2 linked regions of the Arabidopsis thaliana genome follow. The protein of the gene in region 1 interacts with the protein of each later gene in a pairwise test. Each region holds a gene or a part of one and is shown on either strand. Other genes may lie near its edges.

Region 1 (7,594 bases):
AGTATAGATCGGGTGTAACCCGGACTATCCCCTTACAAATGGTCAAAATCAACCTAGAATATTTGTTGGCGGTTTTTTCATACCTAAACTACAATACCTAGTAAATATCAACCTAAACTCACTAAAAATTCAGGCTAGACTATATAAAAATAGCCAAAATCCACATATGCTAAAATGGTGTTAGTTAACAGCATAAAGCGTTGAGTCAACCAATACCATGGCAATGACGACGCATCGAAGTTGAGTAAAACAATGTCGTTTCGTGAGTTTAGGGTTCTCGAATCAAAGACTCTTTGGCGATTGCTTTAGCGATTCTTTGATTTGAGAACCCTAAACTCACGAAATAAAGTCGTATAATTACTCATCTACGATGCCCCGTTATTGCCACAATGTCGGCTGACTCATCGCCGTAAGTGATTGATTAACACTGTTTTGGCATATGTTGATTTTGACTATTTTCATATAGTTTAGGTTGAAAATTTAATTTTTTTAGTGAGTTTAGGTTGATATTTTTCAAATATCGTAGTTTGGGTATAAAAAACTGTCGGAAAATAGTGTGAGTTGATTTTAGCTATTTTCCCTTCATTAATAGAAAACATATATATACCACATAGCATCAATTCAAATATATATACCATATAGCATCAATTCAAATAGTAAATTTGACATTAATATCGCTTTATTTTATAATGTGGCTACGTGTTGTCACGACGCAAGAAAAATTTGAAAAGCCCTTGCTAGGCCTTTTAGATTCCTATAGACGTTAATGAGCCCAAAGACTTTCTTCATCTTTCACTACTCTTTTCAATTTCAAATTCCAAAAACCACAGAAAGAAAAAGACGGAGAGAGGCCGTTGCATTTTCCGGCGAGACGACGCTTCTTCGGACGGATTCACCGATCATCGGTTGTTTCATTCTCTGGTAACAGTTTACTGTTTTCGAGTTTTCCGTTTTCTAAGCAATGTTCAAGTACTATCAAGATTTATCGATCGGTTGGTTGCGTGAGAATTGATTTTCGTATTGATCTTCGTTGATTAGGTTTCTTGATGTGAGCTTTACATAATCTATCTATAGAGAAACGAAGAAGGATTTTGGTGTTATGAATGTTTGTTTCTGTTGCTTATTTGAAACCTAACTTAAACCCTAATTTTCTGTTTCGTATGTTCTTCAGCGTCCTCTGGCTTTGTGATTTCAGAACTTGTTTCACTAAATCGTTGCTAAAATGGCTCATTCAAGGAACAATTATGGTAAGAGATCTTGTTTTAGTTAGTTTTCATATTTGATAAGAGGTAAGAGAGTTTTTTTCTGATGATACAGATAATAATGGTGCTGGATTAGAAGATACTGTGTATCGTTACTTGTGTCTTGTGAGAAGAGCAGGGAGTTCTTGGGAGAGGTGGTGAGATTGCAAAATAGATTAGGTCTGAGACTAAAGCAAACATGAGGGTAAACGAGGCATTGCCTGGTTGTGATGAGCGTGTTGTGACTATATATTCTAATAGCGAGGAGAGAAATCGTATTGAAGATGACAATGAGGATTTTGTCTGTCCTGCTTTTGATGCTCTTTTCAAGGTTCATGATATGGTTGTTGTTGAAGAATTTGACGATGATGATGATTATAATGACAATGATGAGTATAGTGAGGGACAAACAGTTGTTACTGTGAGGATGCTTGTGCCTTCTGATCAAATTGGTTATCTTATTGGCAAAGGTGGACCAATTATTCAAACGCTGCGTAATGACACTAATGCTCAGATTCGTGTTAGAAATGATAATCTACCCATGTGTGCTTTGGCATTGAGTCATGATGAGCTTCTTCAGGTAATGTCTTCGAGATTTGAGTTAGTGTGTGTGGTTGTGTTTCGGATTTAGCTTATGAATGTTGTTGTTGGTTGACTTTCAGATAATTGGAGATCCTTCTGCTGTTAGAGAAGCTCTTTACCAAGTTGCCTTTCTGCTTTATAATAATCCGTCACGATTTTAGAACTACTTTCTGTCTTCCTCTAGTAGTACACTGCAACATCAACCTGGTAGAATTCTGATGAATCCTGCAGTAACGACCTCTCATAAAAATTGCTCGTGAGAATGAGGAGATGGTCCAAGTAATAAATCATGACCACCCTTTATTGCCTAGTGCTTGTCGATTTTGTGTGTTTGAAAGAGACCCTTAAACAATGTTTCTTTATCTTGTGGTTTTAGATAACAGGAAGTCTTGATGCAGCAATCAAAGCTCTTACACAAGTGATGCTGCGTTTAAGAGCCAATGTATTTGACATGGATCGTGGTCTTGTCTTGCTTCCAACTTTATTTCCTTATATTTCTCAAACAATATAGACTTCGAGCAAGTCTAGGCACAGAAAAGGCGAGAACCATCCTCATGGTTCAGAGGAATTTGCTAGGAATGAAGACTATGGTCAAATGGTATGATTGTCATAAAAAAATATATGATTCTGGTAACCAAATTTACTCATAGAGATTCATTTTTGATGATGTCTGTCTATTTTCTTCTTTTGCAGAACGTAAATTCCCCAATAAGAAACCGAGTTTATTGATCACCAAACCATGTCAAAAGGTTATCTTTCTATGTTCTAAACACTTAGATTCTGGAATATACTTTTTATAAAATACTTGGGCGTTTTTTTGGAATCCAAGAAAAAAGAGGATTCGAGTAGTTTTGCGCCTCAAGAATCTACAAATGCAGGAAGTTCTTAAAAGAATGATATATATATTTTTTTGTTTTTGTCATCTTCATGAAAGAATACAATGTTTCTTTCATTTTTCGTATTCGTATTTAACTATATTTGAGTAATCTTGTTCATCATTAGTGGTTCCAAAGCACTGTTATGAACTCGGACGCGTCTTTGCTACTAAGTGTGTCTAACTTGCAGCCAATTGTTCCAATGGTATGATCCACTTAAAAGTATAGTTGATTTTCATGTATTTTAATCAAATGGACCAAGACCAGTGGAAAGAGTCACATATAATCGGCTCCCTTCTTTTCTTTCCGTTTACTGTACTTCCATAAGTCAAATTTTGTTTAGATGTCACACTAATATTTTGTTTTTTTGTGTGTAAAAACTTACTAAAAGAGAAAAAAAATACTAAAAACTATACAATATAATACTTTTACATTGATTATTTATTAGGTCTTTAGCGAATTTTTGACATTGATTTATATGTTTCCAGTTTTGTTATCCGTTGAAGGAGAAAAGTATCGGTTACCATTGTATTGACTAACCATAAAAGAAAACAGATATGCATGTGTGATGTGGTGATGAATGCAATAATCAACCAATTAAAATGCGAACGTAATGTCATAGACACGTGAGCGTTACCAATGAAATAAGTCTGTCACGTAATTAGGTCACAGTCCCGTAACTTTCGTGGTCTTCGAGTATCTTAATTTTCTTTCCTTAACTCTTCTCTTTCTCTTCTTCTTCTTCTTCATCTTTTTTTTTTTAACAGATCTGGTGGAAATTTTATCTTTTGACCCCACCACTGGATCTCTCTATATACACATTCATCTGAGTAATAGAGTAAAAACGAAACACAAGAAGCAATTATGAAGAATTGTGAGAGATTTGCTAATCTCGCTCTCGCAGGTTTTTCTCTCTTTCACTCTTACAATTGTTACAATTCGTCTCGTGAATTTCAATTTTCGATCGATTTTTACGATCATGTGATTGTTTCGCGTTATGGGTTTCTTCTGATTGTGATTTAGGCTTCGAATTTGTTAACTTTTTCGGTTTTAGGTTTGTTCTTAGAATTTGCTGGAAAATATTTATTTTTTTGTTCGTTTTAGATCAGTTTGGTTTCTCTAGGGTTTAGGCTTGATGGGTGTGATTGATTGTTTTTGATTATGGTGTAAAGATTCAAAACTGAGTGGTTTTTGTTTTTGTTTTGGTTACAGGTTTGACATTGGCACCACTCGTTGTGAGAGTAAATCCAAATTTGAATGTTATTCTCACAGCATGTATCACTGTTTATGTGGGTTGCTTTCGTTCGGTCAAGGATACTCCTCCAACGGTAAGACAAAGACGCAATCAGATTGTTTTTTTTTATTAGTGAAACAATTTTCCAAATTCGATCTAAATTGTTTCTTTGGTTTGAAATGGTGTAGGAGACGATGTCAAAAGAACATGCCATGCGTTTCCCATTGGTTGGGAGTGCTATGCTTCTCTCACTTTTCTTATTGTTCAAGTTTCTCTCAAAGGACTTGGTTAATGCTGTGCTAACAGCTTACTTCTTTGTTCTTGGGATTGTCGCTCTTTCGTATGTCTTATCTAAATCATGCCTTTTGTTTTTTTATTTGTTTATCTGTGGTCAAGTCATGACACGGTTATGTGTGTTTGCAGAGCGACATTGTTACCAGCCATCAGAAGATTTTTACCAAATCCTTGGAATGACAATCTTATCGTCTGGCGTTTTCCTTATTTCAAGTGTACGTAACTAAGATTACCTTCAGTATTCTTTGGTAGCCATTTTTCTCATTATATAAGTTATGGGTTTGTTTGTTATCGTTTGCTTAGTGCTAGTCTTTGAATACTTATTTGGTTGATGTAATGATCATTCAAGATCCTAGGTGTTTGTCTCATTTTCAAATCTGTTTTTACTTTTCTTACTCTATCCAGTTATTGTTCTATCCTTCTGGTTGAGATGTGCTTATTTTCTTTGATGTCTAACACCTTTTTACTAAACAGCTTTGGAGGTAGAGTTCACAAAGTCCCAAGTTGTTGCGGGAATCCCTGGAACATTCTTCTGTGCGTGGTATGCGTGGAAAAAACATTGGCTGGCTAACAATATCCTCGGCCTTTCCTTCTGCATTCAGGTTACTTCCCTTGCACTTTATGGGAATACATAAACTCTGAAGCTTCACTGTTATAACATAATATTTAAGTTTAAAGTGAACTGGAGTCACTGTTGTTGAGTGTCTCTTTTTTTACTAATTAATGCCGTTGCCAATACAGGGAATTGAGATGCTCTCTCTCGGATCATTCAAGACTGGTGCCATCCTTTTGGTAAGAACTGCATCTTTTGAATGCTATTCTTGAAAACTTGTTTGGACTTCTAGATGAAAAGAAAATTCGTTTGAAAATGACTCAATCATTCGGTGTTTGTTATGCTTGACTTGCAGGCAGGACTATTTTTCTATGATATCTTCTGGGTTTTCTTTACTCCAGTTATGGTTAGTGTTGCCAAATCCTTCGATGCTCCAATTAAGGTTAGTAAAAATGCCTCAAAAGTACACACCATACCAAATTGATTCTGATTTGTTCTTAGTCAATTTTTCAGTAATCTCATTGTTACATATTTCTTTCAGCTCTTATTCCCTACGGGTGATGCTCTAAGACCCTATTCTATGCTTGGTCTTGGTGACATTGTCATTCCGGGTATGTTCTCTAATGCTTAACCCAATAGCTATATTCAGCTTATGGTTATGCATTCTTGAATCATATTTTTGGATATGATATGAATATAAGATATTAATTTTTGTTTTCCTTTAGGTATTTTCGTTGCACTAGCTCTAAGATTTGATGTGTCAAGACGTAGACAACCACAATACTTCACAAGTGCATTTATCGGATACGCTGTTGGTGTGATCCTCACGATTGTAGTCATGAACTGGTTTCAAGCAGCACAGGTCAGTTTTTGTGTCTTAATTGTTGTCATCTATTTATTGCAACCTTATTTTGGGATTTCTCTCTGATAGGTTTTTGTTTTTGTTTTGCCTTTGTTTCAGCCTGCTTTGTTATACATTGTCCCAGCCGTAATTGGGTTCTTGGCTTCTCACTGCATTTGGAACGGTGACATCAAACCGGTTTGTTTTCTAGTCCTTCTAGATTTCGATGTATCTATTGTTGTAAACGCAATTATGCAACCCAAACAGAAGAACCTTCCTGTTACCTTCTGTTTGCTTATCGTGTTTTTGGTTGTAGATTAAGATGTAAAGGATTAGTGAGCTTATGGTCTTCTTCTTCTTCTTTGTTTTGTTGCTGTTGCAGTTGTTGGCGTTTGATGAATCAAAGACAGAGGAAGCAACGACTGATGAATCAAAGACTAGTGAGGAGGTTAATAAAGCTCATGATGAATGAGGAAAAATCGAGAAAGAAGGGCAGAGGAGAAATATATACACATAAATGTGTCTTAATATATGGAACAAGAAGGAAAACAATTTTGTTTCCAAATGATCATCAATCAGTCCCTTCTAACCCCTTTTTTGTTTTTTTAGATTTTCAAACTTTCTTTTGGCCAAGACTTGTGTAAGTTACTATAAGTTACAACAAATTTTCTTTGACTTTTCTTTCTGTTTTATGTTAAATTCGTTAGGAGACTGGAAGTTATATATCATTTCGAACAGAATTCGAAATATGAGCTTTTTAGCTATTGTAGACAACGTGGTAAGGATATGAACAGTGAGAGGCAAAGAATAGCACATGATGATGATAAAGTTATGAACATAATCTGTGCTGAGAAAGGGACATTTTTGCTTGGGGAGCTATTTGGAGACAAAAAAAAGCTAGATAGAAACTCTACACTTAATGTTTTTTTTTTTTTTTTTTCTGACATCTAGTACAATTATTGCTTGGAGAGCAAGTTGTGTGTTTAATAATATATAACGTATATGTAAGTTGAATAAAAATGTAGAGAAAAATCTTAATGTTAAAAAAAAAGAGAGTAGGTTTGGGGTTTAAGTTTGTGATTAGGTCTAGAGCTAAAGCCAAGGAACAAGCACGTATCAAAGATCAAACAAAATGAGAGTACTGAGGGACGGCCAAAGTGGTGGTGGTGCCAATGAGGGAGCTAAAGCGGAGAAGACTGTGTTTGAGGTTAAACTTGAGTCTTTCGAGGCACGTGCGAAAATCAAGATCATTAAGGAGGTAAGGAGAATCATTGGTGTGGGTCTTAAGGAAGCTATGAAATTGGTGGTGAAGGCTCCTACGGTTTTGAAAACAGGACTTTCAAAAGAAGAAGGAGAGGAGGTCGTTGAGAAGTTGAATGCACTTGGTGCTGAAGCTGTTTTACAGACTAGAGTGAGTGATATTCCAAGTCTGTTTTGGAACAGTTTGTTCCATCTAATAAGCTGATGGATGATGATACCGTTAATAAGAGCTTATTAGCTCAATTAGGCTTTCTCATTGCTAATGTTTTTTTTTTATAAAGAGATTAACTAAACCAATGTATCTTTGCTTGTTTAACATGTATCGCAAGTCCTTCTTCTTGGCATAATAATAATCGATAAATTTGGGAACTTTGTTGTTATTCCATGGCTTTAATGATCTCCAGTGAGAGTTCTCTTACTTTGCTCATTTATTTGGCCTGACTCCACAGCACAACTAATTTGTGTTGATATCAAGATCTTGCAAGATATGCAAGATTAGAAACTGAAAAAATGTAGCAAACACAGAAAAATGTCATTGTACCTAAACACAAAGGTTACAAAACTAGGGACATACCAAAAAAAACAAACCTCCAACACTTTGTTTGCGTGTTGAAAGTTAAAAGACATATAACAATAGATTTTACCAAGAAGTGAAATATTCTCACTTGGAGATGTCAATATTTACATCTCCGAACTTAGGCCTAGGAGGATCCG
Region 2 (6,160 bases), on another chromosome or scaffold:
GAGGAGGGAGTTTCCATCTTTATCCATGAGGATGAGTTCCTCGGGTCGGGTTCGGGCATAATTATCGACCCGGTAAATCAAATCTCCATTCGAATCTATCACCGTGAATCCTTCACAACTCACCAGAAGCGATTTTCTCCACACCGTGAGTGTCGTACACGCTCCTCCAATATCTGCGGCAGCGACGGAGACTGTGGACTCTGTAGATGACGGTGCATCTTCACCGTGGACCGACCTCGACCGTTGCTTCAAGAAAGGGAACATTTTTGTAGTTTTGGTGTTCTTGGTTAACTATTTTAAGAGAGTTTTACAGATCTAATTAATCTCAATTCTCAATACAAATATGGTAAGGTTAGGTATACATATGAGATATATATATATAGATCTAATATATATGTGTGTGGATGAAAGATATTAGCTTTGTTATATTATATCATTGTCTTATTATATTATAATTTTTTTCTTCTTTATATCAACTTGCAAAGTTTTTAAATATCGCTACTTGATATTTAAATGCGACCACAAATAATACTTAGTGACAAAACTGTACTATTCTACAAAATATAAAAATAAGAATTTCACCTAAAAAGCTTTAAACGTTTTATTAATTATGAGTCAAAATTTTTAGTGTTATTTGAAAAATAATACAATATGATAAGATATTATACCATTCTATAAGTTAATTAGAATTTTTTTTAAGTTAATGAATACAGGTCATTAGATTTTTTTTTATCACATTACAAATACAAATTTAACGTACGTAACATTTACATTTAGTGGACTAGAACTCAAATCACCCTATTACAGCTTGCATATATAGTAAATTGTTTTTGTTTTATAAGTCCAAAAGGATTAGTCTAAATTACATTGTTTGGTTATCAAAGAAATTAAAATAAAAAATTAGATAAAATTAATCGAAAATGAAAACTTAACATGAAGGTTGAAATCTCCAAATTATTTACTCATCCTTTTTACCAAACTCAAATATGATATTTTTTTCTATACGTAAAACTCAAAATTGTATATACAAGAAATTTAGCTATCTAAAAATAACTATATAATAAGCCATTATAGTAAGCCACAATTTTGACCATCTACGATCTTTTCTTTTGTACGTAGTAAGGTTTGGTGCAAACTTTTGCAAGTAATTAGTATATAGCTCTTATGGATATGGTATATTCCTGATATGAACTCTGATTGGGTAATGATTAGCACTTAGCAAGGTAGTCAGATTTTTGGCTTTGGCACGCATGGGTTTCACTGTTTCAGGATTGAATTGGAATTTTTTTTTGATTAATTAATGTATAATATTTTATACAATATAAAAATATATTACTGTATTAGGTAAGAACTTTACGACAAAAAAAAAAAAATAGGTAAGAACTTTAAGATTATGCAAGGGTCTTAAAACGAGCCACGTAATCTTCTTAGACCCACGATAGTAGATTTTTGAGGTCTCCAAGAATCTCTTATCCTTTTTGTCATCGAATCTCTCTCTCTTTCTGAAGATATATTAAGAAACAAATCTCTCTTTTTCTTCGAAAAGGTTGGTTAGGTGAAGGACAATTCTCATCCACACGATTAGATGCATAAAATTATATATATAAGAAGAAAATCTAATTATATGAAATGGTGGAATTTCATGTCACACTAGACGACGAATCTTCCATATTAAACTCACTTCTAACACTGCATGTGTATGTAATTATGTATATGAATGAATATCCAAATAGAATAATATATTTGGACTAATCAAATTATTGGAAAAGTACATAAATAAATAAGTGAGCTTTCATTGTCAAACCTGATTTTGTTGATCTCTGGGTTTGCCATTACTCCAAAAAATCTTACCTTCAAGAGTGATGTCGACACAGTGGAGCACACGTGTTGTAACACGTGTCATGACTCAGCTCAAAATTGGATCCCACGGAAGAAGTTAGATCTCGAGGCCAAGAGACCAGAGTCATCAATTCAAACCCCACGTGCGTGAGAGTCACTGACTATTCTCCTCTTATCTTCCGGGTCTTCGAAATCCAATATCTCCAAAACGCAGCGTCTTGGTTAATTTTTGAGATGTCAATATATATAATCTGTGACCTTGTAATGTTTAATCAACAGGTGTATGATCATCTTTCATCTAGGAGCATTTTCATTCTATCAACATATTCTCATAACAATTTTACTATGCCTAACAATTTTTTATTTTTACTATGAAATGGATCAGTAATAAATGGGCCTTAATACTGTACCAACAATCCCATAAATGGGCCCAATGCTGGATCCTATCCGCCGACATCTAACGTTCCACTAACGGAGACGTTATCGGGAATATTCACATTAATTAACGACCGTTAGTTCCACGCCAAATATGTTACATCTGCTACAAAATAAATAGTTTGATTTTCCACCGTGGACGGTTACCTACTCGAGGCCCAGACCCGAATCAAACGGACTGGATTAAATGTTTTAAATCAAGGGGTGGGATTAAATCTGAAGCACACGCTTTTATTCGTCACAGTCTCCTCCCACACTCTTCAATCAGTAAAGAGTTTTAGGTTTTTTTTTCTTCTTCTCGGAGGTTTGTAGAATCAACAAAAATGGTGGAAGACCACAAGCACGAGGAATCGATCTTGGAGAAGATTGTTGAGAAGATCCATGGCCACGGTGACTCGTCTTCTCTGTCCGATTCCGACGACGATAAGAAATCTACATCGTCTTCGTCGTCGTCCTTCAAGTCAAAGATTTACCGACTTTTCGGAAGGGAGAAACCTGTTCACAAGGTTCTCGGTGGTGGAAAACGTATGGATCTATCTCTATTTCTTCACTTTGAACTCTGATTTTACTCGATTTTGTATCTTACATAGTGATTTTGCTCGATCTAGTGAATGTTGCTCTAATTTGAAGCTAAAATTGAGTGTATTTGAGTGCTTAATTGTCTGCTTTGCTCGAAAGTACGCTTAAATCTTGTGAAATACTCAGAAACTATGTTGAATCTGGATTCATTGTTTGCATGTAGCTGCTGATATATTCCTTTGGAGGAACAAGAAGGTATCTGGTGGAGTCTTGGGTGCTGTAACTGCGTCTTGGGTCTTATTCGAGTTATTCGAATACCATCTCCTCGCTTTTCTCTGTCACTTTGCGATTTTTGCTCTTGCAGCATTGTTCTTGTGGTCTAATGCTTGTACATTCATCCACAAGTATGTTCTTACAACATCCCTTATATGTTAAGTGTTAAGTATGAGATAACTGCCTGATCAACTGAGTTCTTATCCTCAGGTCAACTCCTCACATCCCGGAAGTTCACATCCCTGAAGATCCTATTCTTCAACTTGTTTCTGGATTAAGGATTGAAATCAATCGTGGTTTGACCCTTCTTAGGAACATTGCATCAGGAAAAGATGTCAAGAAATTTATCCTGGTATTGTTCATGTTATCTACCTCGATGCAAAGCGGTTTTCTTATGTTCCTCATAAATGCTAATACTTGCTTGCACATGTTTTAGGTAATTGCTGGCTTGTGGGTTTTGTCCATTATTGGCAGCTGCTACAACTTCTTGACATTGTTCTACACTGGTAACGATTCATTTACATCTTACTGCATTTAATCTGATAGGAATCATACTTGCATATCTTGATAACCAGCTTTTCTTTCTTGCTTCCAGCTACTGTCCTTCTCTTCACCATTCCTGTACTCTACGAGAAGTATGAGGACAAAGTAGATGCCTATGGGGAGAAGGCGATGAGGGAGATCAAAAAGCAATATGCAGTACTTGATGAGAAGGTATTGCGTAAGGTCATAAGCAAGATTCCAAGAGGAGCTCTGAACAAGAAGAAGGATTAAGGAATGTGAGTTACTCTCTCATTGGAATCGTAGTAATGGTTCAAGACATGTTTTGTTAGAAGCTGTTGGTTGATAAACCCTTTGATCTCTTGTTATTATTATGTTCATTATAAATTTGGGGGTTTTAACTAAAAATATTTAGATTATGAGAGAACACGGATGGATGATAATTATTGTTGTTAGTTATTTGTCTTAGTTAATTTCTCATCCTTTTAACAGCTCTCCATGATGGTATTCGTCATGTCAATTTTGCATCATGTCTGAGGATTGGTCCATACACATAAACTCAAATTGTTTCGTGGGTTTTTCGCTCTTCACTGCTACTGCGATCTAACTTTAGTTCATAAGAATCTTTCTTGTTTTTATTTGACTAATAATATTCTTCCCATTCCATCTCTTTCATCATCTCAACATCTTGTTCATAGGAAAAGCTAAAATGATTGGTATATGAACTAGGTTAAACGCAATTTGATAATTTTCCAAAAAAATTTGTTCATAATTCTTTTGCCAAAATTGCGATTTCACGATTTCTCGACAAAAATAATCACACAAAAAGTGGATTCCACAATACCAAACGCTTTCGGTATGATAACCATCAAATCTGGATAATTACTTAAAGTAAGCAACATACGTAAGGTAGACAACTAGGTGTTAATCACTATATATAGTTTGTAGTAGAAAACAATATCAAAAGTCAGGATGGCCGAGTGGTCTAAGGCGCCAGACTCAAGTTCTGGTCCTCGTAAGAGGGCGTGGGTTCAAACCCCACTTCTGACATTTCTGTTTTTAGTTTTATGTTCAATGACTGGATTTTTAAATTTATTATTTTTCCGATTAAAGTAGATAACTTTTTTTACAACAACCATTATTTTTTTTTTTGTCATCATTTAACCATTTACTTTCAAAAGCAAAAAAACTTAAAGATGAACAGTGACGACAAAAAAGAAAGAAAAGATGAAACAGTGAAAGCCAAGTACAGTCATTTTGATTAAACCGTATTCATTAACCAACTTTTCACTAACTATGGTAAACCAACCCCTGACCCGAACCGAACCGTTCTTGTTTTTAACCAATGATTCATTCAATCAGAGTCTTTATCCGTAGAAGTCAATACCTCCGTCTCAGCCGCACCCAAATCCGGAGCTATTCCGGTGCCGTTGTACTGCTGAATCACCAAAACCGATGCTTTTGTCGAAGATTCCGGCGAAATCAACAAGCTTCCTACAGGTCCAAGCTCCGGACATTCACTATTCTCCCTAATCGCCAATGCAATTTCTCCACCTGGCATTCTACCAACCAAAAACAAATTGCTCCGCCGCACTTCCTCAATCGCCGATCTAACATCCACGGCGGCGTTTTCAATCTGTTTCTCCACGAACTTAACCGATTCGTCCACCGAAGATATCTTCCTTATCTCAGACATAATCTCCTCATCCGATTTCAGATTCTTCACACTCTGATTCTCGTTGTTATTGTTACTCACTTCAACATTAACAATCTCTCCGACTCTCTCCGGCGATACCACAAATCGGAAAACAGTCAAAACAATTCCGGGATGCTCCGCCATACGTAATCCATAAGCCAACGCTTCACGATCATCAGGACCACCGAAGAACAGAACAACAACAGAGTAAGAAACATCTTGAGCTGAGACTTGACTTGAACCTCCGAGTCCACGGTCAACGAATATACCAACCGAACAAGGAGCTTGAAGCAAAACTCTCCGGTTAACCCAACGGTAATCGCCACGTGTAGTCTCTAACGAACCATCAAGCTGTTGATGCTTGTGAAACGGAAGAATCACAATGGCTGCTTTTTTTCTTACAGCTGTTGTGCAGATATCTTCATGAATATCAGACATTGAAGAGATTGCTGTCATTGGTCGGACATTGACTCTGCTTAGCTGTTGAAAAGCTTGGAAAGCAACTACTACTTGATCAGCGTCTGCGTTTACTCCTCTTCTGTTCCAAAACGGCATTCCGTTTTTCCGAACTTTATGAACCATTAGAATAGCTGATGATCTCTCTGATAGTTCCCGTAAGTGGAGAGCGTAAACGCAGAGCCCTTCGCCTTTTTCGATACCTCTTGATGCTTCTAGGAGGTTTATCATTGAAGGAATGCTTCCTGCTCCGTGGAAACATGTGAGGATTCGAAGCTGTGTGTTTGTGTTCTCTCGTTCTACTGCCCTGTGTTTGTATTCTCCTTCTTTCTTCGCTCTTCTCGCTGGTTTGTAGACTGCCATTACGACTGGTGTGGTGATGAAGGTTGTGAAGAGAGCCATTAGAACCATTATGGCAAATGTCTGATCATTAAGAACCTG

What was found. Proteins that work in one complex are often made in the same cells at the same time.
Region 2: the proteins of SPP (region 1) and BTI3 interact in a two-hybrid assay, tested with the Arabidopsis thaliana proteins (one large-scale study listed by BioGRID).

What each region holds. Positions count from the first base shown.
Region 1 is NC_003071.7:933,992-941,585, forward strand, and holds SPP (signal peptide peptidase), read left to right. Parts: upstream 1-3,391; 5' UTR 3,392-3,562; coding exon 3,563-3,602; intron 3,603-3,910; coding exon 3,911-4,026; intron 4,027-4,120; coding exon 4,121-4,272; intron 4,273-4,355; coding exon 4,356-4,441; intron 4,442-4,700; coding exon 4,701-4,828; intron 4,829-4,967; coding exon 4,968-5,018; intron 5,019-5,134; coding exon 5,135-5,221; intron 5,222-5,320; coding exon 5,321-5,390; intron 5,391-5,504; coding exon 5,505-5,641; intron 5,642-5,740; coding exon 5,741-5,818; intron 5,819-6,002; coding exon 6,003-6,092; 3' UTR 6,093-6,560; downstream 6,561-7,594. Other genes in the region: AT2G03110 (putative RNA-binding protein), read left to right, coding at 1,441-1,821, 1,904-1,984; AT2G03130 (Ribosomal protein L12/ ATP-dependent Clp protease adaptor protein ClpS family protein), read left to right, coding at 6,753-7,085. UniProt on the Arabidopsis thaliana protein: Intramembrane-cleaving aspartic protease (I-CLiP) that cleaves type II membrane signal peptides in the hydrophobic plane of the membrane.
Region 2 is NC_003076.8:16,633,633-16,639,792, forward strand, and holds BTI3 (VIRB2-interacting protein 3), read left to right. Parts: upstream 1-2,396; 5' UTR 2,397-2,597; coding exon 2,598-2,799; intron 2,800-3,016; coding exon 3,017-3,197; intron 3,198-3,276; coding exon 3,277-3,418; intron 3,419-3,502; coding exon 3,503-3,572; intron 3,573-3,661; coding exon 3,662-3,840; 3' UTR 3,841-4,276; downstream 4,277-6,160. Other genes in the region: AT5G41590 (LURP-one-like protein (DUF567)), read right to left, coding at 1-264; CHX18 (cation/H+ exchanger 18), read right to left, coding at 4,922-6,157. UniProt on the Arabidopsis thaliana protein: Plays a role in the Agrobacterium-mediated plant transformation via its interaction with VirB2, the major component of the T-pilus.